Linked DNA regions of Oreochromis niloticus. The protein of the gene in region 1 interacts with the protein of each later gene in a pairwise test. Links are inferred from orthologs where the notes say so. Each region holds a gene or a part of one and is shown in the gene's direction. Other genes may lie near its edges. The genes, in order: cep76, lg12h22orf39, kiaa1143 and cryba4.

Evidence for each region.
Region 2: the proteins of cep76 (region 1) and lg12h22orf39 interact in binary tests that used the Homo sapiens proteins (3 or more experiments, as listed by UniProt). The two-hybrid records come from large-scale screens. The link is inferred for Oreochromis niloticus from reciprocal best matches to the Homo sapiens genes CEP76 and C22orf39.
Region 3: the proteins of cep76 (region 1) and kiaa1143 interact in binary tests that used the Homo sapiens proteins (3 or more experiments, as listed by UniProt). The two-hybrid records come from large-scale screens. The link is inferred for Oreochromis niloticus from reciprocal best matches to the Homo sapiens genes CEP76 and KIAA1143.
Region 4: the proteins of cep76 (region 1) and cryba4 interact in binary tests that used the Homo sapiens proteins (3 or more experiments, as listed by UniProt). The two-hybrid records come from large-scale screens. The link is inferred for Oreochromis niloticus from reciprocal best matches to the Homo sapiens genes CEP76 and CRYBA4.

What each region holds. Positions count from the first base shown.
Region 1 is NC_031976.2:5,547,333-5,554,412, forward strand, and holds the start of cep76 (centrosomal protein of 76 kDa), read left to right. Parts: upstream 1-4,061; 5' UTR 4,062-4,264; coding exon 4,265-4,327; intron 4,328-4,909; coding exon 4,910-5,065; intron 5,066-5,298; coding exon 5,299-5,383; intron 5,384-5,476; coding exon 5,477-5,701; intron 5,702-5,809; coding exon 5,810-5,995; intron 5,996-7,080. Other genes in the region: ptpn2a (tyrosine-protein phosphatase non-receptor type 2a), read left to right, coding at 1-38. UniProt on the Homo sapiens protein: Centrosomal protein involved in regulation of centriole duplication. Required to limit centriole duplication to once per cell cycle by preventing centriole reduplication.
Region 2 is NC_031977.2:25,885,674-25,892,637, forward strand, and holds lg12h22orf39 (synaptic plasticity regulator PANTS), read left to right. Parts: upstream 1-4,195; 5' UTR 4,196-4,690; coding exon 4,691-4,759; intron 4,760-5,457; coding exon 5,458-5,625; intron 5,626-5,714; coding exon 5,715-5,846; 3' UTR 5,847-6,455; downstream 6,456-6,964. Other genes in the region: ufd1l (ubiquitin recognition factor in ER-associated degradation protein 1), read left to right, coding at 410-442, 528-649, 1,070-1,200, 1,296-1,368, 1,617-1,685, 1,767-1,835, 1,909-1,959, 2,040-2,128 and 2 more; mrpl40 (large ribosomal subunit protein mL40), read right to left, coding at 6,618-6,845, 6,962-6,964. UniProt on the Homo sapiens protein: Negatively regulates long-term potentiation and modulates adult synaptic plasticity. Stabilizes the interaction of RTN4 isoform A/Nogo-A with its receptors, inhibiting clustering of postsynaptic AMPA receptors at synaptic sites.
Region 3 is NC_031976.2:5,087,464-5,095,429, reverse strand, and holds the start of kiaa1143 (uncharacterized protein KIAA1143 homolog), read left to right. Parts: upstream 1-4,957; 5' UTR 4,958-5,055; coding exon 5,056-5,169; intron 5,170-5,733; coding exon 5,734-5,884; intron 5,885-6,845; exon of another isoform or gene 6,846-6,862; coding exon 6,863-7,080; 3' UTR 7,081-7,966. Other genes in the region: uncharacterized protein si:dkey-31c13.1, read right to left, coding at 988-1,180, 1,254-1,429, 2,008-2,243, 2,365-3,004, 3,082-3,222, 3,394-3,504, 4,241-4,425, 4,560-4,671.
Region 4 is NC_031972.2:9,182,335-9,189,947, forward strand, and holds cryba4 (beta-crystallin A4), read left to right. Parts: upstream 1-4,652; 5' UTR 4,653-5,001; intron 5,002-5,609; 5' UTR 5,610-5,614; coding exon 5,615-5,653; intron 5,654-6,012; coding exon 6,013-6,131; intron 6,132-6,300; coding exon 6,301-6,442; intron 6,443-6,579; coding exon 6,580-6,722; intron 6,723-6,868; coding exon 6,869-7,016; 3' UTR 7,017-7,108; downstream 7,109-7,613. UniProt on the Homo sapiens protein: Crystallins are the dominant structural components of the vertebrate eye lens.

The sequences.
Region 1 (7,080 bases):
TGGCTGTAGGCCTGCTGTACTGGATGTATTCCCAGTGAAGCACTGCGGGTCATTTAAAACTGACTCCTATTTTGCACCGGTACCTGGGATTAGGTACTTCTTCTCGACATAGATTTAGACAGTAATATGTGCAGAATTGAGGGTATTTATTTCTCAAGGTCAAAATGTGGGAGCGCTAGATCAAACGAGCGTCTGTATATTTTTCATGTAAGATCGAAACAAAAAAATAGTAACATCTCAGGATCTCGGTGCCAGCACGATGATTTAATTTCCTTTCCTTCTTGTCACTGCTCATGAATGTACTGTATCATAGCAAAAATGGCTTTGCAGAAACTTACTAAAGGTGCAGTACAAAGAAAAATATATAGTGACAGGTTTATTTTTACATTCTTTATTTGTAATAGTCAGATATGTGTCGATCAACACGTTTTACATTTTACATTTCAGAATGACTTGTGTTGACTTGTTCATCCTACTGTAGACTTGTAGGAAAACTCCAGAGCCAAGAGGTCAGCTGTAGGGTTTTACTTTTCTTTAGTTTTAATGTAATATAATGAAATGCATGCGTTCTGTGGTTTTCCAGACCACCACTTGTTCTTCCATTCACATTTAGCAGGGCATCCCAACACGGCCAGAAGAATATTTTTGTGTGACTGGACACTTCATAGGGAGCTTCCTTGCCAATGTTTCACACTCTGCTAGAATGTTCATTTTCTGTTATGTGCACACTTTTTTTTTTTTTTCTTTCTTTTGCCTGCATTTGTTAGCTGCCACATGGATCATAAACGTTGCCCCCTAGGAAGTTATTTACCCACTGGATGGGTTGGTCTGTGTATGTTCAGGTGATCACGCTTTTTTTTTTTTTTTTTTTTTTTTTTTTTTTTTTTTTTTGTTTATTTTAAGAAACCAAAGCCTGTTTTTAGGAAGGTAACAGTCAGACAAGCTCCTAATGATGAACCCTCGTATACTCCCCTCATGTCGAATGTATATTCTGTTGAATCTCTCTGTCATAACTGACACCTGTATTACAAAATGATGCTAGTACCGTTCTACATCCTGTCCGTGTTTTGAACCCACATGATCGCCGATTCGGTTTTCAATTGACTGGGACCAATCCAAAGCTACAATAGTGCAATTTAGAAGCTGAAGGAGAGCACCTTGGATTAAATTTAGAAGAGAGCGATGTCCTTGTGGGCTGGTTGATAAAGCGTTTAATGTGCCTTGAAATGTGTTAAATAGGGAAAGGAGGAAAAAAAAGTGCGCTCCCAGAATTTTTTTTTTTTTTTGGTGTGTGATCAGTACAGAAAATTGTCATGTCGCACATAATGTGAGTAACATGTTTGCACTGCAATGACCAGATTAGAGGTGGTGTACAGTAACATGTGTTTGAGTTGATTGAACATTGAATGTGTCATTAGCATGTATTGACTCCTGAAGTGAAATTTTTGATTGGCTACAGTAGAACATGGCTTTTATTTTATTATTATTAATATTGTTATTTTCTTATTTAACCCCAGAGAAGTGTAACATTCCATTCATTTATTGTTTTCTGTGTACAGTTTTCAGGGGAGTTTTGTACACTGAGCTGCAGTGTGGAACATGACAGAAGAGTTTTGATGAGAAAAATGACAAAACCAAACAAAAACATTAAATACTTCATAAAAAATAAAATTTTCTTTTTTTCTTTTTTTTTTTTTTTATAAACCAAACTTTGCTTGCCTGTTCTTTAATTCTGTATCCGTAAAGCAGCTTTACCCACAGCTCTTCCCATCTCACCCACTTTCTGTGCTGTTACTCATAATTTCATTCTGACCATGAGCTAAATCAATGCAGACAGACTGGAGACCTCTCACTGTGGATTCCAGGAATTGATTCAATATTTCAAGAAGAGGCCATGCTCACATTGACTGCTGTAGTAATTTCATTTTCTCTTGTCTGGGACTGTGTGTGTATTTTGTGTTGAATGTATTTTGTGCCTTTGTACTTATTTCAGCTTGTCTGTTTGATGCTGGCTCGATCTCTGCTTTGTCGTTATGTCGTACAGCTCCTCCTAATTCTTTCAGCCGGTCCTTTTAGAGGTCGCCACAGCGAATCATCTGCCCTCCATCTCACACTGTCCCTAGCATCATCCTGCTCTGTCACACCAATCCTCTGCATGTCCTCCTTCCCTACACCCATGAACCTCCTCGGAGATCTTCCGCTCTAGCTTGGTCACTTCTAGCTCAGTTTCCTTTTTGTCAGTGCCACCATCTCAAAAGAGACGATATGTAAACCTTCCCTTTCAGTGTTTCTGCTGTCCTTTCACAAATCACCCCTGACATTTATCTTCTACCCTGCCTCTACTCTGTTCCTCACCTCTCCCCTGCACTGTCTGCTTTTGGATGGTTGACCCCAGGTATTTAAACTCTATCTTCACTCTCTCTAATTATTGTACGGTCGTCTTATCACCTGTCTCCCTCTCATTCACACTTGTATTTTGTATTACTTCTACTGACTTTAATCCTCTACAGTCCATACCACCACCTCTATGGGCTCTCATCCACCTACTCCCCAATCACACTACAGATCAGTGTCATCTGCAAACATCATAGTCCTGCCTGACCTCAACTGTCAGTATACGCCCATTGCTTCTGAAAACAAGAAAGGGCACAGAGCAGATCCTTGATTGTTTATAACTCCTACTGCATGCATCACCACTGTCTCATTGGCCTCATACATGTCCTGCACTACACTCGCACACTTCTCTGGGCCTCTTGACTTCCTCATAAAGTACCACAGTTCCTCTCTTGGCGCTTTCTCTAGATCCACAATGGCACAGTGAAGCACCTTCTGACCTCTATACTTCTCAATGATTACTCTTAAATATAACATCACATCTGTAGTGTTCTTTCTCTGCATGAGGCCATACTGATGCTCAATGATCATAACCTATATTAATTTAGCTTCAACTCTTTCACATATCTTTATGGGCTGACCCATCAGCTTTATCCCTCTGTAGTTACTACAGCTCTGCACATTACCTTTGTTCTTCCCCATACCTCAGGCATCTCTCACTTTCCACGGTTGTGTTAAACAATCTGGTTAAAAAGTCCACTGTCCTCTCTCCTAGACATCTCCATACCTCTACAGGTATGGTGTCTGGACCAGCTGCCTTTCCACTCTGGATCCCATTGTAGCTGCCCTCCCTTCCTCCTTACTAATCCTTGGCTCTTCCTGATTCACTAACTGTCCTCCATCCATCCTCCTCTCTCTCTTATTTTCTTCATTCATCAGCTCCTCAAAGTACTCCTTCAGTCTTCTCAACTCCATTTCTTCACTTCATAGCTATATCTGTCCTGAATCACTCTAACCTGCTACACGTGCTTTCCAGCTCGATCTCTCTGCCTAGCCAATCTGTCCCTTTCTCATCCATTAGTATTTGGTCTCACATACAACTTAAGACTTTACCGACCCACCACCTCTTTGTAACATCTGTTTTCCTCACCATTCTTCATCCATTGAACCCCGCCCCTCCCCGAATGACGACACTCTCTACTCATTAACAGAATTTAAACAATAGGTCAGTTATAATGCAACCATATTCACCATAAGTGTCTTTTTCTTAAAACACTTGACTGATATTTGACACAAATCTTGCCCCCTACTGGCATAATTATAAGTACTTATAATACGTACGAGTCATTAAAGCTTAGAAAGTTACGTTTAAATTTTTATTCCTTTGTCGATAGGCAGGATATGCGTAATTTGATCCATTTATGTCTTGCCTTAGTATGAAAACGCCTCCACATATAAAAAATAAACATAAAAACAGTGGCTATAATTTAAACTACAATTCAAGGGTCTTTCACATGTCGTCGCAATTCGTGACGCGATTGGGGTACGTAAAAATATCCCTGAATAAAATGGGGAATATTTGGTGAGCAAAAATGAAATAAAACTACAATAAATGCACCACCAAAAATACGTATATCGTGGTTTATATGGTGATTCTTATAAATCCTGTAACTTTAGAGCAAAATTGTCGAGGTATTGATTTTTTTTCCGGAGTATGGTGTCGGGCATCAGCGGAGAAACCTTCCCGCTCGCTTTTCCGCCACTGTTTGAACTGGCAGTTGTTGCTGTCAGAAAAGAACATTTCTGCGAAAAATGGCGAATGCACACAAAGTTTCATTATAACTCAACGGCGTTATTTATTGTTTCTACCAGTACCCATGTATAAGCCTGGCTAGCTAGCTTAGCCTAAAAAGCACAAATAATAGCAATAATGTCGCTGCCTCCAGAAAAAGCTTCCGAGCTGAAGCAAATCATTCACAACCATCTGCTCAAGGTGAGAAAACTACATAGATTTTATGGCTATTCGTGTTGTAAACAATGTACAGTTGAATGCTGAAGTCCTTAAGCAGCATGGTTACACGGGTATTTTTCATGAAGGGGGGAAGCTAGCTGTTTATAGTGGGCAAATAGATTTTTTTTAATGTCACAAATTCCTATTTCCTTGCATTTGCACATCACAGAGAAATCACATATTACCACCTAGTTGGTAAGATTGGCTGCACCATCTCTTTATACAGCATTATTTAAAGCACCGTTGGGAACCCGTGCTGTTTTCCAGCCAAGCGTCTATAAGCAGATAAAGTACAAATTCACACAGCAAACAAGACCAATTTCGATCCTACATTTGTTGCTGATTTGAATGAAAAATTGATTTGTAAAAAGTAATGAATGAGAAAAGATTTCGCATCAATAATGCACCGAATAGACGGTACTTATAGGTCTACTGATATAAAACATACACACACACTTCCCAAAATCAGAGTTTAAATGGGAAAGGACTGTTTTTAGAGGATGTTTAGAAAGCACAAACACAATTTTTAAGTAGGTGAAGGAATTTTGTTTTTCTGTTTGTCAGATGGATATCCATGGGAAGATCCGAGAGGTCCTGGCTGAGACTGTGAGGGATGATCAAGGCCCAGCACGTCGGTCTCTGTCTGAAGCAGATTTCCTGCGTGCTCTGCAGCGTAGAGGCATCATAGATGATATGATGAAAGATCTTCACTTTACACAGGTTTCCCAGCTTTTTTGATGCAATTTCAGACCTGCATTGCTAATTGGTTTTTAATATAGAAGTATTTTTCATTCCATCCATCAATCAAACATCTACAATGTATCAATCCCCTTGATAGCTACGTTTTACTTTCACAGTTTGCCTTCAGTATGGATTAAAAATATCTGTAATACAGTGTGTCAGTTCTGTCCCATCTTTTCTGACTGTTCTGTCTTGTCATTTTGGCGTGGTAGGAAGCCGGCACAGAAGCAGAAACGGGATCACCTACAAAACCTGCTACTCATTTTGTTGATAAAGATATCACTCATCTGAAAAAAAGTAAGAAACATTATTTGCATACCAAGCAAATAATAATATGATGCACAGATTGTTTTGCCTAACGTTATTCCTCTTCTACTTTTCTCTTCTCAGCCAATATTGACCCATCAAGGCGATGCCTGTATCTCCAGGTGCTTGGAGGGAAAGCCTTTTTGGAGCATCTCCAGGAGCCGGAGCCCTTACCTGGTCAGGTGTGTTCTACCTTCACACTCTACCTGCACTTCCGCAACCAGAGGTTTCGATCAAAGCCAGTGCCCTGTGCCTGTGAACCTGACCTCAAGGAGGGCTTCCTGTTAGAGATCCACAGAGACGGTATAGGTGTGTGTTAACCACAACTGTTTGTGTCAATCACAAATACTGTTCTCATTGTATTGCTTAATAAACCATCCATGTACAGAGTATAATTTTACAATTTTTGTATTCCAGGGGAAAGTGGTAAGATGGCAGATGCGACCTCCATGCTGTCAGTGTGTGACCCAGTGCACTTTGTGCTGATAAAAACAGACACCTCAAGTGAAACAATGCTTGTCTCATCCTACTTCCTGGACTGGAGGACTGTCCTAAGCTCGCCCAGCTGCAAGACCTGCTTTGCTGTAGAGCTGATGGGAGTTGGTGAGCAACAGACTCTCTCTGCACAAAGAGTTTCTAATGAAGGGTTCTTTTGATTTTAATTTTGAAGAACAAAAGCAGAAGTCAAAAAATCATGCTGGATATCTAGCTATATAGACCGGTTAATGTGTTGGTTGGAAATGAAAATGATCAACCTACAAAGTGCTGAATTCAAAGACACTCCCACAATAAAAGTGAAAAAATGATGTGGCAGTGCTCTGGGGTGAGGTGCTCTGTTGGATTTAGGTGAGCGGAGGGGTCAGTAAGTGGTATAAATTCCTTCGTCCTCCAGCCTGCATACTCTCACCCCATGAGGCCGGGCATTGTGTTGCACCAGACGGAATCCATGACCCACTGTATCAGTGTAGGGTCTGACACTGGGTCCAGTGATTTATTCCTGATATCTAATGGCAGTCAGGGTTCTGTTGCCTAGCCTGTAGAGGGCTGTGAAGATATGGCTCCCCTGACCATCACTCACTGACCACCAAACCAGTCATGCCAAATGATGTTACAGGCAGTATCATTCTCCAAACCCCTTCGCATCTGTCACATGTACTCAGGGTGAACCTGCTCTCATCTGTGAAAAACACAGAGCCATTAGAGGACATCAGGCCCTCAGGCCACTCTAATGAAGTCTGTTTCTGATTTTTTTGTTAAGAGACATTCACACCAGTGACCTGCTAAAGATAATTTTGTAGCTCTGGAGTGCTCATCCTGTTCCTCCTTGCATAAAGGAGCAGATACCGTCATGCTGATGGGTTAAGGATCTAAGGATGTCTAGCTGTCTTAGACATTCCTGTGTCCTGGAATGTCTTCCATGCTCTTGAGACTATGCTGGGAGACACAGAAATCCTGGTAGGGATTATTGATGTGCCATTCTGGAGGAATGGGTGGAGTGCCCACTCCGGGTCGGGGATGAGTTCCTGCCCCAAGTGGAGGAGTTTAAGTATCTCGGGGTCTTGTTCGCGAGTGATGGGAGAAGGGAGCCGGAGATCAACAGACGGATTGGTGCTGCGGCTGCAGTGATGCGGACGCTGCACCGGTCCGTCGTGGTGAAGAGGGAGCTGAGTGTAAAAGCGAAGCACTCA
Region 2 (6,964 bases), on another chromosome or scaffold:
TCTGACTAGGATTCCTCCTGAAGCACTTGTGAAAACTCAAATGTCTGATGAAGTCAAATTGGACATAGAGTTTGATGAGCGATGGTGTAATGTTTGGCAGGTTTACATGTAGCTAATTTTCTGCATTCACCACTGTATTGTGGGTGTAATATGTGCCAACATCCACATGGTGTAACCAGCTCCCTTGTCCAAACATACATCCGGTACCGCAAACATATCTGAAGTTAACTATTTAACTATTTACTGCTTTGTGGTACTTGTTAGAAAAGACAACTGTAAAAACAATATCCTCAAAATGTCCAAGTTTATGTTGGTATGTATGAGGTGAAAGTTGCATATCGTATTTCAACATATTTTATGAAAACACATATTTTCCTTAAAGTAACTGTTATTTTTCTTTTCTTTTCAGTAATAATGCCACCTTCAGCTCTCGACCAGCTCAGTAAGCGCACGTTTATTCAAAAACTTCTTACTAAATGTCCTGTTTACATCCTGTTTTTAGCATTGCTCTATTTTCCTCTGTTCAGGCAGGCTTAACATTACCTATCCAATGCTGTTCAAGCTGACCAACAAGAACTCAGACAGAATGACACACTGTGGTGTCCTGGAGTTTGTGGCAGACGAGGGAATCTGTTACCTACCTCACTGGGTGAGAAACAGTAATGAGTTTAATGTCACCATCACACAGGCTGAACTGTCTCCTGTCAGCAGTGGAGGAGCACTTACTTATTCTTCTTGTGTGGAAGTGGATAACAATGTTGTAGAAGTATGAGTTTAAAAATCCAAATTTGTTGGTATTTGCAACATGTTGAACTAAATATTCTTTGCTGATTAAAATCTTTGGCGATGCTGTGGTTCACACTATCTTCTCACAGCACAATGATTCAGGGTTGAAATATACCAGCTGGCTGCAGGCCTTCTGTGCGGAGTTTGGATGTTCTTCCTTTATCTGCATAGGTTCTCCCCGAGTACTCCCACCTTGCACTCTTTCCCCCATGACTTGATAGATGGATGGAAATAGAAAAAAATGAAGGCTCGAGTGACATTTGCTGTATTTTGTTCGCTGCAGATGATGCAGAATCTCCTGTTAGAGGAAGGCGGTCTCGTTCAGGTGGAAAGTGTCAACCTCATGGTGGCCACTTACTCAAAGTTCCAGCCTCAGAGCCCCGACTTCCTGGACATTACAAACCCCAAAGCAGTGTAAGGAGTACAGGCTGAAATGTTTATTTGAACTTTAAATTTTTATTTTTTTTGACACTTTATGTTTTAACATAAGTGGTTAACATTCATTACAGACTGGAGAACGCACTGAGAAACTTTGCATGCTTGACAACTGGTGACGTCATAGCCATTAACTACAACGAAAAGGTGAATCAGTTTCTTTAAATCATTGTTGTAATTATATGTGACCAAGGGTTGTTCTTGGAGAGTTTCCTGGAAGATTAAACAGGAGACTTCTGCAGTTTTAAAGTTTGAAAACACATAAAAAATGCCTATAATGAATGTGGTCATGGATGGCTTTGATCAAGTGCTTCTATACTCTGTTACAGCCTACGTGTGACGTGTGATTTTGTGTGTGGTTTGTTTTCGAGGCTAAGGTAATCTGTGTGTTTCAGATATATGAGCTGCGAGTAATGGAGACCAAACCAGATAAAGCAGTATCCATCATCGAGTGTGATATGAATGTAAGATCCCGGACTTCACTACAGTCACAGTGAATTTTTCTGTTGCTTTGCTTGCTCATGTGCTGTTACTTTGTTGTTCAGGTGGATTTTGATGCTCCTTTGGGTTACAAAGAGCCTGAACGACGGCCTAATCACCAGGATGAACCAACAGTAAGGAGCAAACCATCATGGTAACTGTACATTTTCTGCTTTGAACAATGTAATAAAACTGTATTTCTGACAGGAGGAAGAAACAGATCCCAGCAGTTATGCTGACATGGACACAGGCTTCAGAGTGAGTTCAAGTTAATGTGTACTACTACTATAAGTACTTAAAGAACATAATTTAATCTCTAATCTGTGCTTTATTTTCAGGCTTTCACCGGTTCTGGTAATCGTTTGGATGGTAAAACTAAAGGAATTGAACCCAGCCCTGCTCCCATCGCCCCAAGTGACATTAAAAGGTGAAAAGAGTGTCTTACACATTCCCATAAAATTAGCTCAACTGTTAAGACAAGCTATTTTTACAGGGAATGTTACACCTTTATTTAACAGCATATTGTGAAAGGGATTAGGAGAGGAATGACAGTCAGCTCAAACTGCTGCTGTTCAGTATATTAAAGGCCCCAAGCAGGAACCATTATATCTATTAGGCTATGTTAGAGATCTCAGACAGGGCTACCTGTGTTGCAGGTTTGGTCAGGCGTAAGTTGGTGAGCTGAGTTGAGACATAGAATGTGACATCTTGAGGCACATGAGTTTGTCAGGAGATATATTTAAATTGTCTGAGTTCTGAGCATTTTTATGTATATTTTTTTTATGCTTCATAAAAACAGAGAGGAATACCGGATTTATGCTGTAAGGCAACTAGGTACCCTGGTCTTAACCCTGAATGCTAAAGCCTGAACCATACCATAATTGTCAGAAAATTCTTTGTTTACCTTTAAAAAAAAACAAAACAAAAACAAAAACTGGAGTGGTTATTGAACTTTCTGAATGGTCCACATGGCGTTGCACAGCTTTGGTGAGTGTTTGTCTCTACTAAGATGTACTGAACAGCAAAGAAGTATAAAATATACCAATGTAACTATACACTGGTATTGTCCTACATATGTTTTTAAGCTGTGCTCTGGTGACAGCACACAGCTACACCACGCAGACAATGGTTTCCCAAGCTGTTGTGTGTCTAATGTTTCGTCACACAGAGGGATTCCCAACTATGACTTCAAAATTGGCAGGATCACCTTCATTCGAAACTCCAGGCCTCAGCCCAAGAAAATTGTGGATGATGTAAGTAATGCAAACAGTTTTCTTTCCTGGCAATTTTTAAAGTCTTATATTTAGTGTTCATGCCATATTTTTCCATTTTCTTCTAAATCTTCTCAGGATGATGCCATGAACAGATTCATCGCCTTCTCTGGACAAGGGCAGTCACTACGCAAGAAGGGCCGAAAGCCTTGAAGAGATACAAACGGGGAGTCTGACTTATGTGCACAGACCTATCTTATTCTTTTCACCTTCAGCAGGTGTATTAAAGTATTGGTTTTCAGATGCGTTGGGTTTTGCCCCTGTCCCTTTTGAAATGGAGGTTTTGCAGTTGATTATAGCATGTAATTAAAAGTCTGACAGTAATATTTTGCTCAAAAGAATCTGAGCAGCCTAAAATGTCAGCTCTAATTTGGTATTCACAAATTCAGAGTGACTGATTTTCAGGAAATGTCTCTTCAAGAACATGAAAAAATGACAGCAACTATTGTTCTTATATCAGATTGAATGATCTCCGACTCTGCGCAGACCCATCTTTTCCATAATTCTTTTTTTATTTTTACAATCCACTTTAAATATGCTGTTATCCACAATCCCAGTGTTACTATAAAATGGGAGCTTTTGGTTTTGATTATACTGAGAATAATTTTATGTTTGAAGGTTTTTTTTTTCCTGACTTTTAGGAATCTTTTCTTTTGCTTTATTTATATAGAAATAAAATGGTGTTTTGAAATGAATTGCACTCAGACCTATTTTTTGAGGTATTATGCTCTTTCTGTGACATCACTTGAGTCGAGTATTTATATATGAAGAAGATGATTAGTGGATAAACTATTGGAATTGGTGAGTTTACATAAATGGGTAAAATAATGAATGATTGAGCTCTCAATCAGCAATAGTAACTACAAATTCAGATTTGAGAAAACCGACATTTTAATTGTTTCAGAAAAAATATTGTTCCAAATAATTTATACTTTTCGTTCCATTAAAAGCAGAATATCTTTAAATAAACTGTAAATTCACAATGACGACCTTCAGCAATGCACACATTTTTGGTTTTGATGCTTCGTGGCCTCGTGTATTTTCAAAATAAGTGCTACAGAAATGCGGCAAGGGCTTTTGTTGTGAAAACTAAAACCGGAAGGAGTACAGTTGCTAAAGCTGTCGCAGCTAGCGATGGACAGGGCTGTGGGAGAAATCGCATGGAGGGTAATTAAACCAGATATTACGTTATTAATTTCGTTACTGATAACTTTTCCTTAGTTAATTTGATTTGCATTGTTTATGAGAAGACTGAAAATAATCAAAGTCAAATCCTGATGATGTAGGTCGCAAGGTGATTAGCTTTAGATGCTAAACCGCAAATTTACTCTTCTGTAGCATCTAGCAGTGTCAGACAAAGAAGATCCGAGGAGGCGAAGTATATTTTTTGATTCACGAAATGCACTAATATCTGGGCTTGCTGGTCAAATTTAAAAATAGCATGTGTGTAGTTGGAAAGTCAAATCAGCCACTGAGCAAACTGAGGGTCAGCCCATTCTTAATACGACCGCAGAGGGGCGCTGTTTCAATGTTGAACACTTTAGAGACTCAGGTTAAACACTCACCGGCCATTACGTCATGCTTGTACTGGGTTAGACTCTCTTCAGAACTGCGTTAATTCTTCGTGGCACAGATTCAAGAAGGTGTTGAAAACATTCATCAGAGATTTCCAGTTTGGCACGACAGCATCACACACTTGCTGCTGACAGAAATGTGAGATGAACATCAATAAACTTCTCACCATACCAGCCAAATGTCGCTGCAGAAATTCGAACTCGTCAGAGCAGGCAGCGTTTTTCCAGTGTTCCTTTGCCCAGTGTAGTTGAACCTGTGCAAACTGTAGCCTCAGTTTCCTGTTCTTGGGGAGCGGCACTCGGTGTGGTCTTCTGTTACTTCAAGGTTTGACATGCCGTGAATTTAGAGATGGTCTTCTGCATATCTTGGTGGTACTTTTGATAGTCCCTGTTGATTTCCTCTCAGTCCGAATCAGTCTGGCTATTCTCCTTTGACGTTGACAAGGTATTTTTGCTTAGAGAACTGCCCCTCACTGTATATTTCCTCTTTTTCAGTTGCTGCCATGTGATTGGTTGATTATTTTATTAGTAACAAGTAGTTAGACAGGTGTACCCAACAAAGGCTACGTTCACACTGCAGGTCTTAATGCTCAATTCCGATTTTTTGATCAAATCCGATTTTTTTGTCTGCTCGTTCACACTACAAATAAAATGCGACAGCAAACGCGCTCTAGTGTGAACGCTCAAAGCGGCCCGCATGCGCAAAAGATGTCACATCGTGGTGAGTTTTCAGTATGAAATGAGGTTGTATTTTTAGCCTAGGTGAAGGACAAAGGTTGATCCTCAGTTGCTCTTGCATTACTTTCATCCTTTGGAGGGGAGACAATGAAGACCTCGACTGATGTCAGTCACCAGAATCCCAACAGAAGTTTAAAGTTTTATTCTCATGTTTGTTTGCTTTGTCGCCACAGCCACCGCGGGCATGTGAAGACTACTGGAGTGAGTTTAGACACTGCAAAAGTTTAAAAAACTGCTTTCACCACTACTACACTTACGGTACCGTGCCGTCCTGCCAGCAGTGGAAAGAGGACTACCATAACTGCAGAGAGTGGGAGAAACATAGAGGCACCGAGGCTAAGGTGGAACAGCAAGAAATTAAAGTCCTAAATGGGTGACTTTGTGATCCCCTCCAGGCTGTATAAATACACTCACTGTATCTGTCTTGCAGGAGGCGTTGCGGAGAAGTGAGAAAATCCGAGTGGCAGAGCAAAGAAACTTCATTCCAGTGTGGCAGCTCAGGCAGGAGCCTCCTAGAGACTGGCACGTGCCACTGAACCAGGAGAAGCCTCAGGACTCCTGAACATCGAGTTTTGACAACATGCTGTGTTTCAGTTAAAGAGCCTGGACATTCTTGTGATCACGAGCTGTCATGAGTTGTATTCAGAGAACTGCTGTATGTAAAATGATATGTACAGTATGTCTAACAGCAGCTAGTGGTCAGCGATGAGGATTCAGCCTCTGTTTTATCAGTGAATATGATCTCTTTCCAGGCAGGCTGGTGTGTCATAGGTACTAATTCTGCAAAGCTTGTGTAAACTTAAGCACAAAGACCGACTGCACTCGGAGACTCTGTGAAAATTAGCTCTATATTATCCTTATTTTGACAGGATATATAATCAATCCATGTAATCAGTGATCTGCTTCATTCTCTTTGAAAAAGGTGAAGAGCCAGGTCTTTGCATGGTACTGGTAGGCCTATATGTATTTGTCAGCTGCTAAGCATATGAATTGACTTTAAGAAAGGTTAATTATGTAGCTCTTGATGCTGGAGTCAGGTCTATGGGATGTTTAATCTTACTGAAAAATTGACATGACAGAATCCAGAGTTGTGTAGCAGTTTTCTGCCTTATAACATGACATGTTCAAAAAGATTCTGGAAACTGGATCAATAAAAAGATGTAAATTTTTATTCGATTTCTTTCATTATTATAGACAGAAATATTAATGTGACACAAACTCACTGTAACTCTCACACAATGAATGACAATGAAGGAATAAAGACGCAGAAGCTGCATTTTTGCTTAGTGAATAACATTCAGACACACTAAACTACACAGCCATTCCTCATCTATCACTGTGTGTAAACTTTAGTGATATCGTTGTATTTCCCATCAGGAGCGTCATAATTGGGTATTGCTGGCGTATATGTGGGACCTTCGTGAACAAAGGGAATAAGAAGCGGGTCAGGCTTCAGCGCTGCCCGATACAGCTCCTCAGACTCCAGCTTCAGCTCCTCCAGTGCCTCCCTCTGTGCTTCCAAAGCCAGTTCAACAGCCTCCACTTCAGCCATGTGCTGCTTCTGCAAGAACATCAGACAGACACAACCCACTAAGTGCATGCAATGGAGAGCCAGGGTCAGATGTAACATTTTCCATAAAAGCTTTAGTGACGCAGGTGCGATAGGTAAGTGGTAACCTG
Region 3 (7,966 bases), about 460 kb from region 1:
GCGCGCGCGCGCGCACACACACACACACACACACACACACAATCATTTAGTTCTTTCTCCATTTAATCATTTTGTTTTTAAAACACTGTCCTTGCAGGACATACAAGCAAACCATGCCTAACAGTAAAGGCAGTGAGTGCTACTTTGTATGGGCGTGTGAAAGGAATGATTTGATTGATGCACATATAACCAATGAAAAAGTGAACAAATGCACTGATGTAACCCTTGTAAAAAATAACTAAAGGCATAAGAACTGAGCCAATGTGATACCGTACAGAGGTTTGAAAAGAAGAGTGTCTGCGTGTCCTTGATGGAGGAAGGGTTCCGATGATTTAGAGGACAGCCTCTTTGTGGGTTTCACCCTCAGTCTGTGCAGCTGGAAACTCTGACCCGCTTTGCTTCCAGATGAAGCATACCATCCTCACTTCCACACACAGATGTGAGCCCCTTCACCAGCCTGCCTAATGTCTCAGAAAGTTCCTCAAGTGTGTCTTGGCTCTCACTGGTATATATTCGGTCCATGAGTTGTTTGGTGAGGTTGACACATTTCTTCCTCAGATATGACTTGCTCACTCGCTTGCGTGGTGGACTGTCACAGTCAGAGGTCACCTGTGTGTCTGCAAAGAAAGTTACACTTAGACAAATTTGCACTCCCTAAAATTTGAGATTACAGGTTAATGATTGTGCGGGTAAGACAGTAACTTTTATGAAGTTCTTCTCTCATGTTGCAGATAAACCTTACCCTTGCAGGTTACTGACTCACTGACTACCTCCATGCCCCACTCGTCCACTGAGTCTGGGGTCATGGAGCAACACGTGGCATCCAGGTTAAGAAGCAGGTGTTCCCTGTATTTCAGGGATAACTGCTGCCACGTCCAGCCAGGGACCGTCTGGAAGACTGCACAGAAATGTTTGCATGGCAACTTGTACCGCCTCCAGTCATCACACTGGCAGGAGGGCAAGCTGTCGTCTGACCCAAATGCCAGTTCATAAGACTGGTCCTCCTGTGTCTCGCTCTTCACTCTGAAAACACCATCGCCCAGCTTGACCACGTCCCTCAGAGAGAGAGCTGTCCATGCAGCTCGTGATGTGTTGAATGACGTCTGTGGGTCTGTCCCACAGGAAAGGAGGGACACTGGAGTCATACTGTCTGTATGACCTCACATTAGCTTCAATGTACCTGAAAGAGAAACATTATTTTTGCTGACATGACGTGCACACTGAAGACAAGCTTGTGCAAATGGAAAACTTACGTCCTCCACAGTTCAGGGATGTACATGTGTGTCACGATGTCCAGCATTTCAGATAATGTCCGGTTCCTGTAGTCCTCCAGGTATTTGTGCTTGAACAATTTATTCTGGCGTTCGGTCTCATGGTTTGTGATGATGGCTATATTCAGTGTCTCTTCTTTGAAGGCAGACACCCATCTCTTAAACAAAGCAAGATATAGTGAGAGTTTGTTGTGGTGATAGAATTTCAGCTGTTTGAAGCCAGGCTGCTTTATCACCTGGCACAGGCCACATATAGGTTAATCTTAACTTAAAGATCACAAATAACCCTTTCAAACTATATATGACCATTTAACCTTTTGAACATGTATATAATATATATATTTTACTATCTATATTTTAATATCTACCAACATCTAGTGGTGAGATTTTACTCACTGCAACTTTAAATAAGCCAAACTTTACTTTAAAAGGATATAATCTGGAAGGTAGTGGCTTGTGCTGTATTCTTCAGCATTAATGTGACTGTCACACATAAGCAAGTCACCCATGTTGCTGTGTTCAGGCCACCCAGCCCCCCAACAGAGGCAGGCTTTTAAACTTGACGATGATTTATTTTAATGATATAATGTATCATAGTTGATGAAATCCCCAATTTTTCTTCTAATTTTATGTTAGTGTTTCACAAAATAGTAAACCTCTTTTCTTTGCAACTTCTTTTGTCCCATTTTCTTTCAAATGTCTCTGTGCAGGAGCTGCTTTTTTGTCAGATGCTTACCTTTGCTTTGGACAACCACATGTCTGAAAACCAGCTCTGAAACACAGGATTTTGTTCCCAGGTGTGGCTGGCCATCAGGGCCTTCACTGCCTCCTCGAACTGCTGTGTAGTGAGCGAGGTGGCTATCGCTTTCAGCTTTGCAAGAGCATCTTCTTTGTCAGCCACTCGATGCTCCTTCTGTATCCATTCATCCCATGCCTTCTCCCTGTGAAAGTCACTGAACAGCGCTTTGGTGCCTGCACAGAGATAGAAAGAGACTGAATAGAGAGCACACTGATATATAATCATAACACCAAGATGTATAAAAAGAGTAAAAATCCACAGTGATCACTTTGTTTTCATTTTAGCTCACCGTACCTTCAAACACAGACTCAACAGCTCGGATTTCGGCAGCGTTGCAATCGACCATGAAGCTTGCTGGCCTCCAGTCTGCGTTCCAACATTTGAAGACTTCCAGACCCTCTTTGATGGCTTCTGTTGTTTCTTCTTGCAGTACCATCACTCCCACAACGGAGTAGCACATGTTGGTGCGGACGCACAAGAAGCAAAGGGGCAGAGGGTAGCGGATTGTTCTGTAGGCGGCATCGAACACGCAGACATCTGCCCCATACATGCGCAGCAGCCTCATCTGCCACAACGTTTGATGGCAGAAGAGGAAGGAGGCATCCTCTGTACGGAGGCAGTCTTTTTTTCTTTTTTTATACGGACTAGTCACATGCTGGTGTTTTACCCAAACAGGAATGATAAAGGCGCCACTCACCTCCAGGTTCACCTGATCGATTCTGTGCCGAGCCTGGTCCTTCACCTTAGCCATTATATTTCGGAGGTCCTTCTCTGAGGGGTAGTACCGGCGCCTGGACGCAGGGGGTGGGCTAGCTCCCTTAAAAAGCTCGGCTGTTACAAACTGAGCAAGATGACGCTTCAGCTCGCTGACCTTCCTCACGCCCTGCTTTCTGAGCTCCACCACCTGCTGCTCCACTCTTGCGTCCACGGGCTCCTTTAAATATAGCACACTTGTAGTTTCACATGGAAACACAGGTTTTCGTCCTTTGTGAGCAGACTGTTGTGCGTTACCATTTCTCCCATTGCGTGCCCAGCATGCGCACTTGGCTGTGTGACAACATAGCATGTTCCCCATACAACTGGATCTCTCTCCAAGGCCTCTCTTAGCATCTTGGAGGCTGCCTTCTTACTCCTCTCCCTGTCTTCTTCCAACTATGATGCATGCAGATAGAAATCAGAGTGGTGATCATGGAGAGAAACACGTGCCGAAACAAAATGATTTAGTCTGAGTCCTAAACTCATACTGCAAGGCTTTCTCCTTTAAATTCAGCTGTCTTCGCTTAAAGATCATATCCCTGTAGGAGAGCCAACATTTCCACTTACCTTGAATTTAGGGAATGTTGCGATCTTGCTGATTGATATGGCTGCTGGGCATCCCACCTTTTTAGTAGACTGCGAGTTTGATTTGTTCCTAACTAAAGTGTGGTCCATCATCTGTGGATTATGGGAAAGAAATCAGTTAAATAATTAATTCAATAATTCATGTCAAGGTTAGCTAACTTGAGCAGAACATCTAAGCATACTCAAGTTAACAGGAGAAACAGGTGGAGGAGTAGTGCGCCTTTCTTAGTAGCTGTGGTTCACTGCTGTCCATTAGAGGTGAGCAGATTGATCCTAATATTGATAATATCCATGCCAATGCCGGTATTGGTACAAACACAATAGGATTTAAAGCCTATAGCACCTTTAAACGACAGTAGTTGATCAAAAGTGCTTTAGAGACAGCCACATCCAAGGTCTCCAGAAAGCCCCAATTTCAAAATACATGAAAAACTAAAAGGTGTGTTTTGTTGTAGAAAAGTAAAAATCACACTGACTTATAGGCCATTAAATTGTGTTCAGAAATTGGACATTAATGATGATTCGTCTGATAAATCATGACGCACTGCTCTCCACTACATAAGCTGCCTTTTATAGGTTAAAAGTGTTGTCACTATTGGTCCTGTATTTACTTAGTATTGGACTGATACACAAATTTCAGTATCCCACAGCACTACTCCCAACTCATCTACTCTGCGCGCCTTTTTCTACAAAGCTACAGCGTCATCAGTTGCCTGGCAACGAAACAACCAATCACAGCAGGATTGTCCCTAGGCTCCTCGCATCACCAGCCAGCCTGTGTGGGTGTGTGTGTGTGTGTGTGTGTGTGTTGAACGTGCAGTGAAATCACCGTCTTTTTTGCCTTTTCCTCGGCATATCTCTGCTTCTGAGCTACGGCGAGGTCTTTGCCCTGATGGCAGACGAGCCTTTTAGAGCCCACAAACATAAATGGGACTCCGGTGAATTCAGTGGCTGGCATCCCAGAGCCCCCAGCCCATTGCCAGTAGACCCGGTTTCCGGGCAAAGGATGCCAATCTGTGTGACAAATACAAGCACATGACCTGATGATAAGACCCTGGCGTTAACCGACACACTCACTACTGAACCATAGCAGGGAGCAGTGTTTACGGCTCTTGTGTTCAGCCAGCAGTCACTCTTCATTTCGTTACCTTTGTCATTAAAATGGCGGTCCACGGAAAAGGTGATAAACTTAGTCTGAGACTCTTCCTCCAGTTCTTTAATAAAAGAGTCCAGATCGGCAGAGTTCTCAAAGTGTCTCATGCTAATGCTTAACTTTTCATGTTCACACAGCTAACGGCGCTGCGAGCAGTCACAGCGGAGAGTTTGCTTCTTCGAGTTAAACGGGGCGAGTTGCTGCTTTATGTGGAGGACATTCATCGGTTTAGTTTTTCTGCGATGTTTCGCTTTGAATCATTTCTGTGAGTGAGCGACAGATTATCGTCCCTTGTGCAGATCCAATGTAACACCAAGCAGCGCTGTGGCATCAACGTTCCCAAATCCACCAATGACAGTAGCTCCTGAAGTCACGTGACGCGTCGCGGTTTAGTGACGGTTTCAATGTTTTGATGAGTCCGTGCTAGCCGGAAGTTGCTCAGGTCTGGAGTCTGCATTCGTTGGCTGTTTGTCTTGTTTTGCTTCTTTGCCATGAATAAAAATAAGGGCCGCGGAGTAGCATGGGTGAAGCCGGCGGAGCCGTCCTTTCTCAAGAAGTTTAAGAGCGATGTGGGGTACAAAGAGGGACCGAATGTCGACACTAAGGTAACTACGCGGTTTGGTTAGCCGTGCCAGTTAGCTGCCCCTGGCCTACCAAACCATTAGCTCTTTGAGTTGTGTGACAGTTACACTTTGTGACGTGTGTTTCTGAGCGTAGGCGCATTGTGTTCATATAAGGAAGAATAAATGCTCTGAATCATAATTCAACGGAGGGTCCCATTCACTGAATTGAGCAGTGAGGCCGCACGAGCTACAGCTGTTTCTCAGACCATCAGAGCAGTTTCAAACTGCGCTGCAGCGTTCAGCTGTGACTGCGCAGGCGTACTACAACTGAATTTATGTATTCTACATTCTACAACAGAAAGCCATGGCTTTTCATGAATGGAAGTTGTATAAAGTTGCATTTCAAAAAAACCCAAAAAGAAAACCCCGCCAGAACTTGAATCATGACTCTGAACTACAGGTTCCTGATTTTAGTTTGAGTGTAGGGCTGCTGATGAAATGATCATCAATGAAATAAGAAACCTCGGCACCATCATTCACAGTGAATGTAGGATTTAAAATACAAAAAAAATCTCAAACAGGCTGACGGTCTGTTTGCTATCTCAGCGTCAGGTGATGCCAACACTGGATGACGAGAGCGGCAGCGATCGAGAGGACGAGTTGCCTCAGGTCGTGGTCCTTAAAAGTGGAGACCTGACTGCAGAGGAGGTGAAGAAGGTGAAGGATGAAATACGGGCTGGAGGCAGCTCAGAGAAAGGTGAGAGTCCAGTTCAATGATTTAATTACACCAGGAGTAAGAAAATATTTACATATGTATTAGTGGTGCAACGGATCAAAAATTTCACGGTTCGGATTGGATCACGGTTTTAAGTCACGGATCGGATCAATTTTCGGATCAGCAAAAAAAGAAAAAAAAATTAACATTGACTTATTTACTTATTGAAGTATTTTTTGCCTGTTAAAAACATTCAACTCAAGACTCATTCCACGCAATTATATAAAAACAAATTATGGTACAATATAGGGCTTTGTATCTACCACTCAATTCAATTTTATTTACAAAGCGTCAAATCACAACAACAGTCGTCTCAAGGCGCTTTATATTGTAAGGTAGACCCTACAATAATACATACTGCTCATTATATCGCACTCCGCTGTGATATAATGAGCGGTCACGGTCACGTAGCTTTCCGTGTCCTTGGAGGTCCACCCATTTGTAGTTAGGGCAACAGAAGATGCCTGGGACAGTTCAGCCATAACTTTAAACTTTTCCTGCTCATACATGCTTGGAACGATCTTGCCACTAAAGTGGACGCGCAACGGGATATCATAGCGGGGCTCAAGCGCGTTCATCATAGTTTAAACCCCTTGTTTTGCACAACGGAATATGGCCTCCCGTCTGCAGCTAAACACCCCAATAGCTTTTGTAATAGCTTGAACCCGGTCGGATTGGGCAGCAAAGGGCTGCTTAAATGCCGCAAACTCCTCTGCTCCTCCACTTGGACTGCTAGCGCTGGCCATAACTATCGCTTGACAGACTGACCACGCGCACCATACACATACTTTTTTGTATGTGTATGGTTCTCCGAACCGATCCCCGTGGAGTGGGATCGGTTCGGATTACGGATCAACCATGATCCGTTGCACTACTAATATGTATGCACTGTATACAGCATGTTAACATAAAACCCTGTGTTTGCTACCCTGCTCATACATACCGCCGTCTGCTCCGCAGATGGTCAGCCCCCTGATGGTAAAATCCTTTTCAAGAAACCAGCCAAGCGCTCTTCCTCAGATAAATTCCAGGGCATCGGTGCTAGCTCCAGCAAAAAGAAGAAGAGCAGTGGAGGGGACAAGGAAAAGGAGGAGGAGGAGAAAAAGGAGGCATCTGGAAAGAAAGTTAAAAATAACAGCCTCCTGTCATTTGGAGGGGATGAGGAGGAGGAGGACTGAATGGAAGTGGTGAGAGTAGGCTGTCAGGAAACAGGAACATTGTACTGAGTATAAGACATGGTTCAGCCTGTCCATTCTTTTTAAAGGACAGTGCTACTGTTTTTGCATGTCGTACATGACACATAGATTCATACATTTTTAGTAAAGCATAAAAATCAGCTGGCACAAACTGAATTTATTCCGAGTTGTCTCCGTCTGACTACAGGGATGATTCTGATCCATTTAACAGTCTGAACAGAAACAGTGAAGCCGAGGGGAAAAAATGAACACGCATCAAAGAAGATGAGGTTATACTTCTGTTAGTGTAACTTTATCCTGCATCCATGTCAGGGTCAGAAACTACACAAGGACATTTATACAGTACTGTGTTACTGATAAGAGGGGAGTTGGTTCAGCTGCTGTGTGAAAGCCCACTCTGACATATTAGCAGGACGTTTCCCTTGGTTACAGCTACCAGACTGTGTTGACTTGTGTCACTTTGTAGAACTTGGGGTTTGCTCTTTTCCAGCCCCGTGACTTTGTTGTTTTAACATTTTAGTTTGCATGTTCTCGTGTGTGTGTTCTGTGAGGACAAATATGAACTTTTAAGGTGGTTTAGTTCTCAGTGGACTAAAGTCATGGCTGTGGGACAAGAATTCATATTTTCACACCTCAAAGTTTATAAATGTCTCAAACACAAGCAGAGAGAACCGGGCTGATGTAAACCAGCTCCTGCTTGATTCTGGAGTTGACTGAAGACGCACATCACCATACGGCTTTACCTCAGTGTAGCTCTTTCACACACACCACAGGCAGGTAGTTGAAGCAGCGTCTTTGTGAAATGCACGGATTCTGAAACCAGCTCATCTACACGGTTTCAGGTGTAAATTTCTCCTGCATTTGCAGT
Region 4 (7,613 bases), on another chromosome or scaffold:
ACACAGAAAAGGCACGCACACAAACACAAATACAACATACTCTTTAGCTCAGACTTTCTACTTTAAATCACTGCCATTTCTTGATTTTGGAGAATCACCACAACAGACACAGACAGAAAACAAAAAAAGGCAGTGATCTATTTGTTCATGTTGATCTTCTATGTGTTCTCCATACAAAGAATCAAACAGCATTTCAAATGAAGTGTTTTTGTTTTTTGGACATTTTGCTGTGTGAACATTAATAAACTATAAGCTAATTGAGTTACTGGAGATTCTCTTTCTCCCACTGAGATCCAGGTTCACCAGAGCTGTTCCACTAAATGCTTTGGCACTACACTAACACTTACTACTGATATCTACTTCTAGTTCTGACTAGTGTTAGCCAACTGCTTAACAGATGATAAACACATTCATATCGCAAAAGCATCTTTCCAATCAACATCAGGTTTGGCATCTGACATTTTCCAAAATCAGCATCATGTTTGTTTAGCCAGATATTAAATCTTTAATTCTTGTACCAGAAACCAAAGACAATTTGTGCTACTCAACACAGGACAGTGTATTCTTGTTGTTGTTCACAGGACACAATAATCATATATCACAGTAACAATCATCATCATCATCATCATCATCATATACAATATGTAATGTATTCTTACAGCTTCAGTCTGTTATTGCTCCACTATGTGGAGGTAAGGAAAGAGGCAGAACTTGAGTTTTTGTTCTGTGCATGGTGTTTCTGTAGCTTCTCGTGTGTAACACTCTGAATGTCCAGACATCTTCCTTTCTTTGTCACAGTTTCTCTCTGCACTGTCCATGTTTAGATGTTTTTGTGGAGAACCTGCTGTTAAATTTGGGATTTGACAACAATTTTACACTTTTATTATGAATCCAGTGCCCGTGTAAAGCAGGTGTTTGTCAAAGAGAGCATAGGCAGCATTTTTTCAGTTATTCTGTGGTATCGTGTTAAATTAACAGTATAAATGTAAATCAATGCAATAGCATGAGCCAAGTAGGGTAGAAGCTTGGGTTTTACTAGCCTCACCCCAACCTTACGCTTTACATTTTATCCAGGCTGTCATTATAGCCGGTACATTAAGATAAAGAGGGCGTACGCAGCATGTTCACTTCCTTTAACTTTGCTAGGATAATATTTAGTAGTTCTTGACTGGTGGGTAATCTGGACAAAAAAGCACTGCCACACAACTGTGCATGAGAATTCCTCCTGGTCATCTTCAGAGGTTGAATAAAGGTCATTGTTGGTGGTAATAATTATGGGATTATGGCGAATGGATTATGTGTGGATTATATCACTTCAGCTGAGATCATTTCCACGATGGAAGGAGGATTAAATTGCGTTTGATATGTGAACTAATCCTGCAGTGTAATCTGGGTGACTTCCATGCTGTGATTTGTTGTAATTTCTGCTGCCCTCTTGGTCAGGTCTTTCCTGAGAAAGGGATTTTTAATCTTAGTCAGACTTTTTCCTGATATTTCAGAATGCCACACAGACACGGTTTCATTTGTAAGAAAGAAAAGTCACCAACATTTTTAGCAAAGTAACTCATAAAGACAACAGGGGACTGACATTAGTGAGTATTCAGACAGCAGGATTGAGTATGTGGAGTTTAGTTGAAATAAATGTGTTTGGGGTAATAAATGAACATGTCACCAAACGGACATTGTCTTGACTGTGGTCTCTTTTTTCATACAGAAGAAAAGAGTGGTGCAGTGCTTACTGTAAAGAATATACACTATTGCTGTGATTCAGTCCCATTATGGAGACTTTACATCTTTTCATCTAGCCTCACATATCTGATCCTACTTGGTAGGGCTGACTTTAAACATTTTAGCATCAAGTGGGAAAATAATATTAAAGACTGCACCAAAAGCAAGTGCATCTCCATAGATCCACAATGCAGAAGTTTCAAATGCAGAAGTAAGGAGCATTAAAAAGCCTGTTCACGGTCTGGTACAAAAAGCAGAAACTTTCACTACTTCAGGCTTGCTGTGTCTTATGGCACACCCATGAAGCTTTGGTGAGTGAAATTCTGCTATTTTATTAGTCTCTTACTACTAACAGGTATCTGTACCTGTGTGTTACACCTGTACCTTTTGCCAGTGAAGCTGACAACATAGCATAGCACACTTTAATGCAAATATTGTAACCAAAGAGATTCGTTCCTTTAATAGTTAGAACAAACCATTGTGTGAGCGTTCCTCACTAATGATAGCTAATGCTAGTGCTGCTGACATCATTAGAAGGAAATAAAAGAGAGCAAGAGCTTATATCTGTGACTTCATTTTACGATGATAATAATTTTGATGATGATACTTGCCAAGTCTGAAGAAGATTGGATGAGTGGTTGTCACTGCTTTACACTTTTAGGCAGAAAACACACATGGACTTTTAAATGCATTGACCATTGTCACTAAAACACATCTGTTTAGACAGGCATTTGGGTAATGTTCGTGTGTAATATGTTGTGTTATGCTATATTTATACTGTACTATTGCTTTGTTTGATATGCTTTTATACTTCCTTAATATTGCTATATTGTTTGTTTGACATGCCTTCATTCCCATGTGAAGCACTTTGTAACAGCTTCTTGTCTTAAAAAGTGCTATATAAATAAATTTTACTTACTTACTTACTTACTTACTTACTTTTATCTTCTGACACTGCCACAAAATGTCCTGCCAAATGAAAGGAACCTATTGATTTTGACCAGCCCTTGGCTCTTTCATTCTTGTTGGTCAATTTTCTGATGACTGCCAGGGGTCTCAGGAGCCCTCCCCGGCTTTCTCAAGAAGAAAATATTTAGTCTGTTTTTCAGAGGGGTTCATCATTATCATGGCTGATTGCACAAGTCCACTGGTAAGTAAACATTGTCCTTCTAATGTAAGATGAATCAGATCAGTTTTTTCTCTTGTTGTGTAAAAAAAAAAAAAAAAAAAATCTGATGAGGAAACCTGTTTGATATTTTTGAAATTTGACTCTTTTCAGGCAGGAAACATTTTGGTCTCTGTTCAAAAAGTTGATTCTGTTCATCTGGACATAGTGTTTTCAGTGGGAGAAATGTTTTGTCACTCTTGTAAGTGACTTCTTCATTCTCAGCTGACTGCAGGTTTCCCCAACCTTAATGATCATGTAACTGACCTCACAGCCCATTGTTAGTCCGTGGTGCTAGTTTCAGTTATTATACAAAGATACTGTTTATAAGGATGGGAGAAAAAAAGTCACTTGGATGAGAGATGAAACATTTCCCCCACTGATACATCCAGATAAACAGGATCAACTTTTTGGGATTTGCTGGATATGGATGATTGAACTTTCATTGAGACTTTTGGTCTCTCTGAACTACAATTTCTGTTTTGATTTCAGAGAAATTAACTTTTATTAAGCCAGGCTTGTATATGAAGATCTGAGGCAGTGAATTATGTCTAAAAGTTGCAGATAAGCTGAAATTCCTTTAGGCTCACTGGAAATAAGGACAAATTTGTGCTGTCCATACAAGTGCCTCTGCTCTCCTGTTTACAAGTGGTTGATTATGTAAGCACACACACACACACACACACACACACACACACACACACACACACAAGACACTCACTAGCCCACAAGTCCTATCTAGTGCATTACACTACAGCATGCAGGTTAAATCTGTTTTTACTATTGAGGGCTTTTTTTTATTTTTTCATTAAACTGTTAAACATTTGATAAAATGTAGGCTTTGTTACTGTAATTATGAGTATAACAAAAAAATAAAACACACAAAGAAAGAGTGCTGCTATGATCTGTGTGATCAACCACGTATTCTTACTAGAACACTTCAAATGATCAGATTTCAGATGTGGAGACGTGTTTCATGTTAGAAAGCATTCTGGTGTAAGTATTAGTGTTTGCCATAATTGGATGAATGACTTCATCTGTACTGGTTAGATTTCTCACTGCACACATTGGAGGCTTTCATAAGAATACTATCTGCACTGAAAATCTGCTTTGACACATGCATGAGGTTGCTTTTTTTCTGTTTTGTTTTTTTTAAAAATTTATTTCATGTAGCCAGCCTGCTACCTGCCCGAGCACCTGAAAGTGACATCAAAGCGACTGAGAACAGATTCCAAATAGTGATCTTGCAAATAAAAATCCTTTGTTATAACCGTTTTAAAAACTTGAGGTCTTTTTCCTTAAGACTTAGCTTTAGGTTAAATAAGCTATATATCAGACAGAGCCATCTAGTACTCTTCCTATTTTCTGACACTAAATTGCAAAAAACAATCATAGCCATTGTAATTAGCCGTCGCAATTAGTGCTTTAACTCTGGTACCAACCTTTTTTAGTAGATATAACGAATTATTGTCTTTATGTCCATAAAATCGTCAAAGGATCTTGCGATTCTCTTAACTTTCTTTCTGTTGTACTATTTTCAAACATGTTGTGGAAAAAAACACATCCTCTGAGTCACCATCAACGCTTCACCGCTGTTACCAACATGAACAGGCATGCACACAGAGCTCATTCTGTCTGTGTGTGTTGGTCTCACATCATCAACAAATTCTAATGGTATGACAGGCCATTATTATATTTGCAAATTTCACACATTTAATGGCAAAAATGAAGCACCATTTAACTAAGAAAATGACTGGTCTTTACTTGCAGACATAAATTGAAATAAAGAGTTAAAGAGCTTCCAGCTGCGTTTTTCTCTTCCCTCTCTGATGCCGTTGGCTCTCAGTATTTTCTCAGCTTGCACTCTATGTTTCATTTCTTATATTCCTGGTCTCTGTGTCCACTGCCCCCAGTGATAATGTGGTGTCTGCACTTCTGGCCCTCCATAGATTAACGATGCTTTTGTCAGGGAGGGACAAAGAAAAGCCCCTCCCTGCTGCTGAGCCGGGGCTTTCAGCATGGACCCCTGCCAGGGGAGGCTTTAAAAGGGTGGGGGCGTGTGGCTCCTCTCACTCTCACGGCAGGACAACCCAAGGGCATCAAGCAAGGTGAGTTCCTGTCCCTCGCCCAGCCGCCACAGCCATCCAGCACGGCCAGCCAGGGTACCACAGCCAGGGTATAGCATCCCCCATATTCACACATCCATATCTACTCCCACTCCAAACACACACCATCCAGGCTCCACGGCTGAAATCACTGCACCCAGTGGCTGAGATGAACAGTGACGATGATGGAACAATCTTAGAAATGGGCAGAAAAACTAGAAAGAGAGAGAAAGAAGTTAGAGTAGCCAAATGAAGCCTGTGGCCTCTGTGACCCTCTTCTGTTTGGTATCCAAACTATAAATAGACATTGGTGCTTTCCATCTAGCAATTACAAATTCAGGCTGCTTCCAGTATCCTGCCCATTATGTGTAAAGTACACACTGTACCTGCGACACAGACTTGTTTTTTCATAGGTCTGACAATAGAACCGATCTCCTGTTCTTCACTTTTTGGATTTCTGGTTCACACATCTGTCTTTACTGGTTAGCTTCTGGCTAGTTTCTGCATCAGAATAAAATGACTGCTAACCTCTCAGAGTGTGTGGCTTCCCTGTTGTCACTGCTGTCTATTCATTGTTAGCACTCGTGGATAAAATTCTTTCTTCCTTCCAGACAAGATGACTCACCATTGCACCAAGTTCTCCGGCCACTGGAAGGTGAGTCTGCAGATGGAAGAGCAGCTTTATTCATCAGCACCTTTGAATTTTCCCTCAGATGGGACCACGAGCTGCTTGTTGTAAAACGCCTCATACAGTTGAGCATCAGGGAGAGTACCCAATGAAGTCACACCACATTAGGACGCTATAAAAACTTCATTAGGATTGTAATATCACACAGTTGTGCATTAGGCCTTGTTAAAAGTGGTTTATCTCCCAGTTCAGAGCGATTAGCTTAGCTAACATAGTTTTATATGTTTGAGGCGAGCTGCTGAAGTGATTTCAGACATCACACATCAAGTTTAAGTGGATGGTGTGTGATAATACAGCCATCAGCTGCATGTCCTTTTTCCCATTAGATCATTGTCTTCGATGAGGAATGCTTCCAGGGACGCCGCCATGAGTTCACCTCTGAGTGCTGCAACGTGATGGAGTTTGGCTTTGAGACCGTTCGCTCCCTCAAGGTGGAGAGTGGAGCGTGAGTAAACAGATATGTGCGCATAGAAAGAGCAGTCTTACATGCAGCAGAAAACCAACATTAAGTGACATACAGTTAACATGACAGGATGTTATTAACCTCCGTATAAGCGGATTTAAGAACTTTTGGGATGATGTAATAATCTTTTTTTTTCTATGCTTCCTTCCAGCTGGGTGGGTTATGAGCATGCCTCCTATCAGGGACAGCAGTTCGTCCTGGAGCGGGGAGAGTACCCCCAGTGTGATGCTTTTGGAGGTAGCAATGCCTATCACATTGAGAGACTGACCTCCTTCAGACCCATTGCCTGTGCTGTAAGTTATCTCTCAGCTTGTTTTCACTGAAAAACCTGCATTATGTGCAAATGCTGCTGTGACAAATCATTAATGTAGACTTGCATGACCTGAAAAACTACTCAAATGTATTCTTTTTTTACCTCCCCCACCTCCAGAACCACAGAGAGTGTCGTATGACTATCTATGAGCGTGAGAACTTCCTGGGCCGTAAGGGTGAGCTCAGCGACGATTACCCCTCCCTCCAGGCCATGGGTTGGTGCAACAATGAAGTTGGCTCTCTAAGGATCCATTCTGGAGCGTGAGTGTCCCCAGCTGCTTATTTGCCTCCTTTTTCCCCCTCCTCATTCTCTCAGCAGTTCAAAAAATAACCCTACTCAGATTTTCACAATATGCTTTGCAACATTTCACAACATTTGCATTTCCACGTCTGTCATTTCTCAACAGATTTGTGTGCTACCAGTATCCTGGTTATCGTGGATACCAATATATCATGGAGTGCGATCGTCACTGTGGGGAGTACAAACACTTCAGGGAGTTTGGCTCTCACTGCCAGACCCCTCAGATCCAGTCCATCCGCCGTATTCAGCAGTAATAACTTACACCAAACCCTTTCTAGCATGTGACCCTTCACCTTTGACCCCTGCTGCTTGCCCGTGCTAAATAAACTGTTTTTCTTAAACCTTACTGACTTCCACCAGTGTATGTGCTTATCATATGGACATACTAAATCACTTATACATCGCACACTTGTGTTTTCCTCTGAATTGCGATCACTTCTGTATAATTCACATGACGGTGTACAGCGGTTACCTGCTAATAAGGGTGAATGTGAGGAAAAAAATGCCATTTAGAACCAAGTATTTAGCTTATTATGTAACTGCTCAATGTCAACCAGATTAATAAATGTGAACCAAACTGTAACAAATATTTGCAAGTCCTTTCACATATCTTTTTCTGAGATATGTGCTAATCAAACATTGCTGTCTTATTAAAGAAGAAGAAGCTGCTTTCCTTTGTGACAGTGGGCAGCCCCATGTGTTTGATTTGGAAGAAACCCCCTTTCCTGGCACAACTCCAGGGGGGATTTGTGTCCACTACACTATGGAGGGACAAATGCTGCTGTATTATTATCTTTGATAATTCAATAATCAGTTTTGATAAGTCAGTAATCACTAATGGTAATTATTCC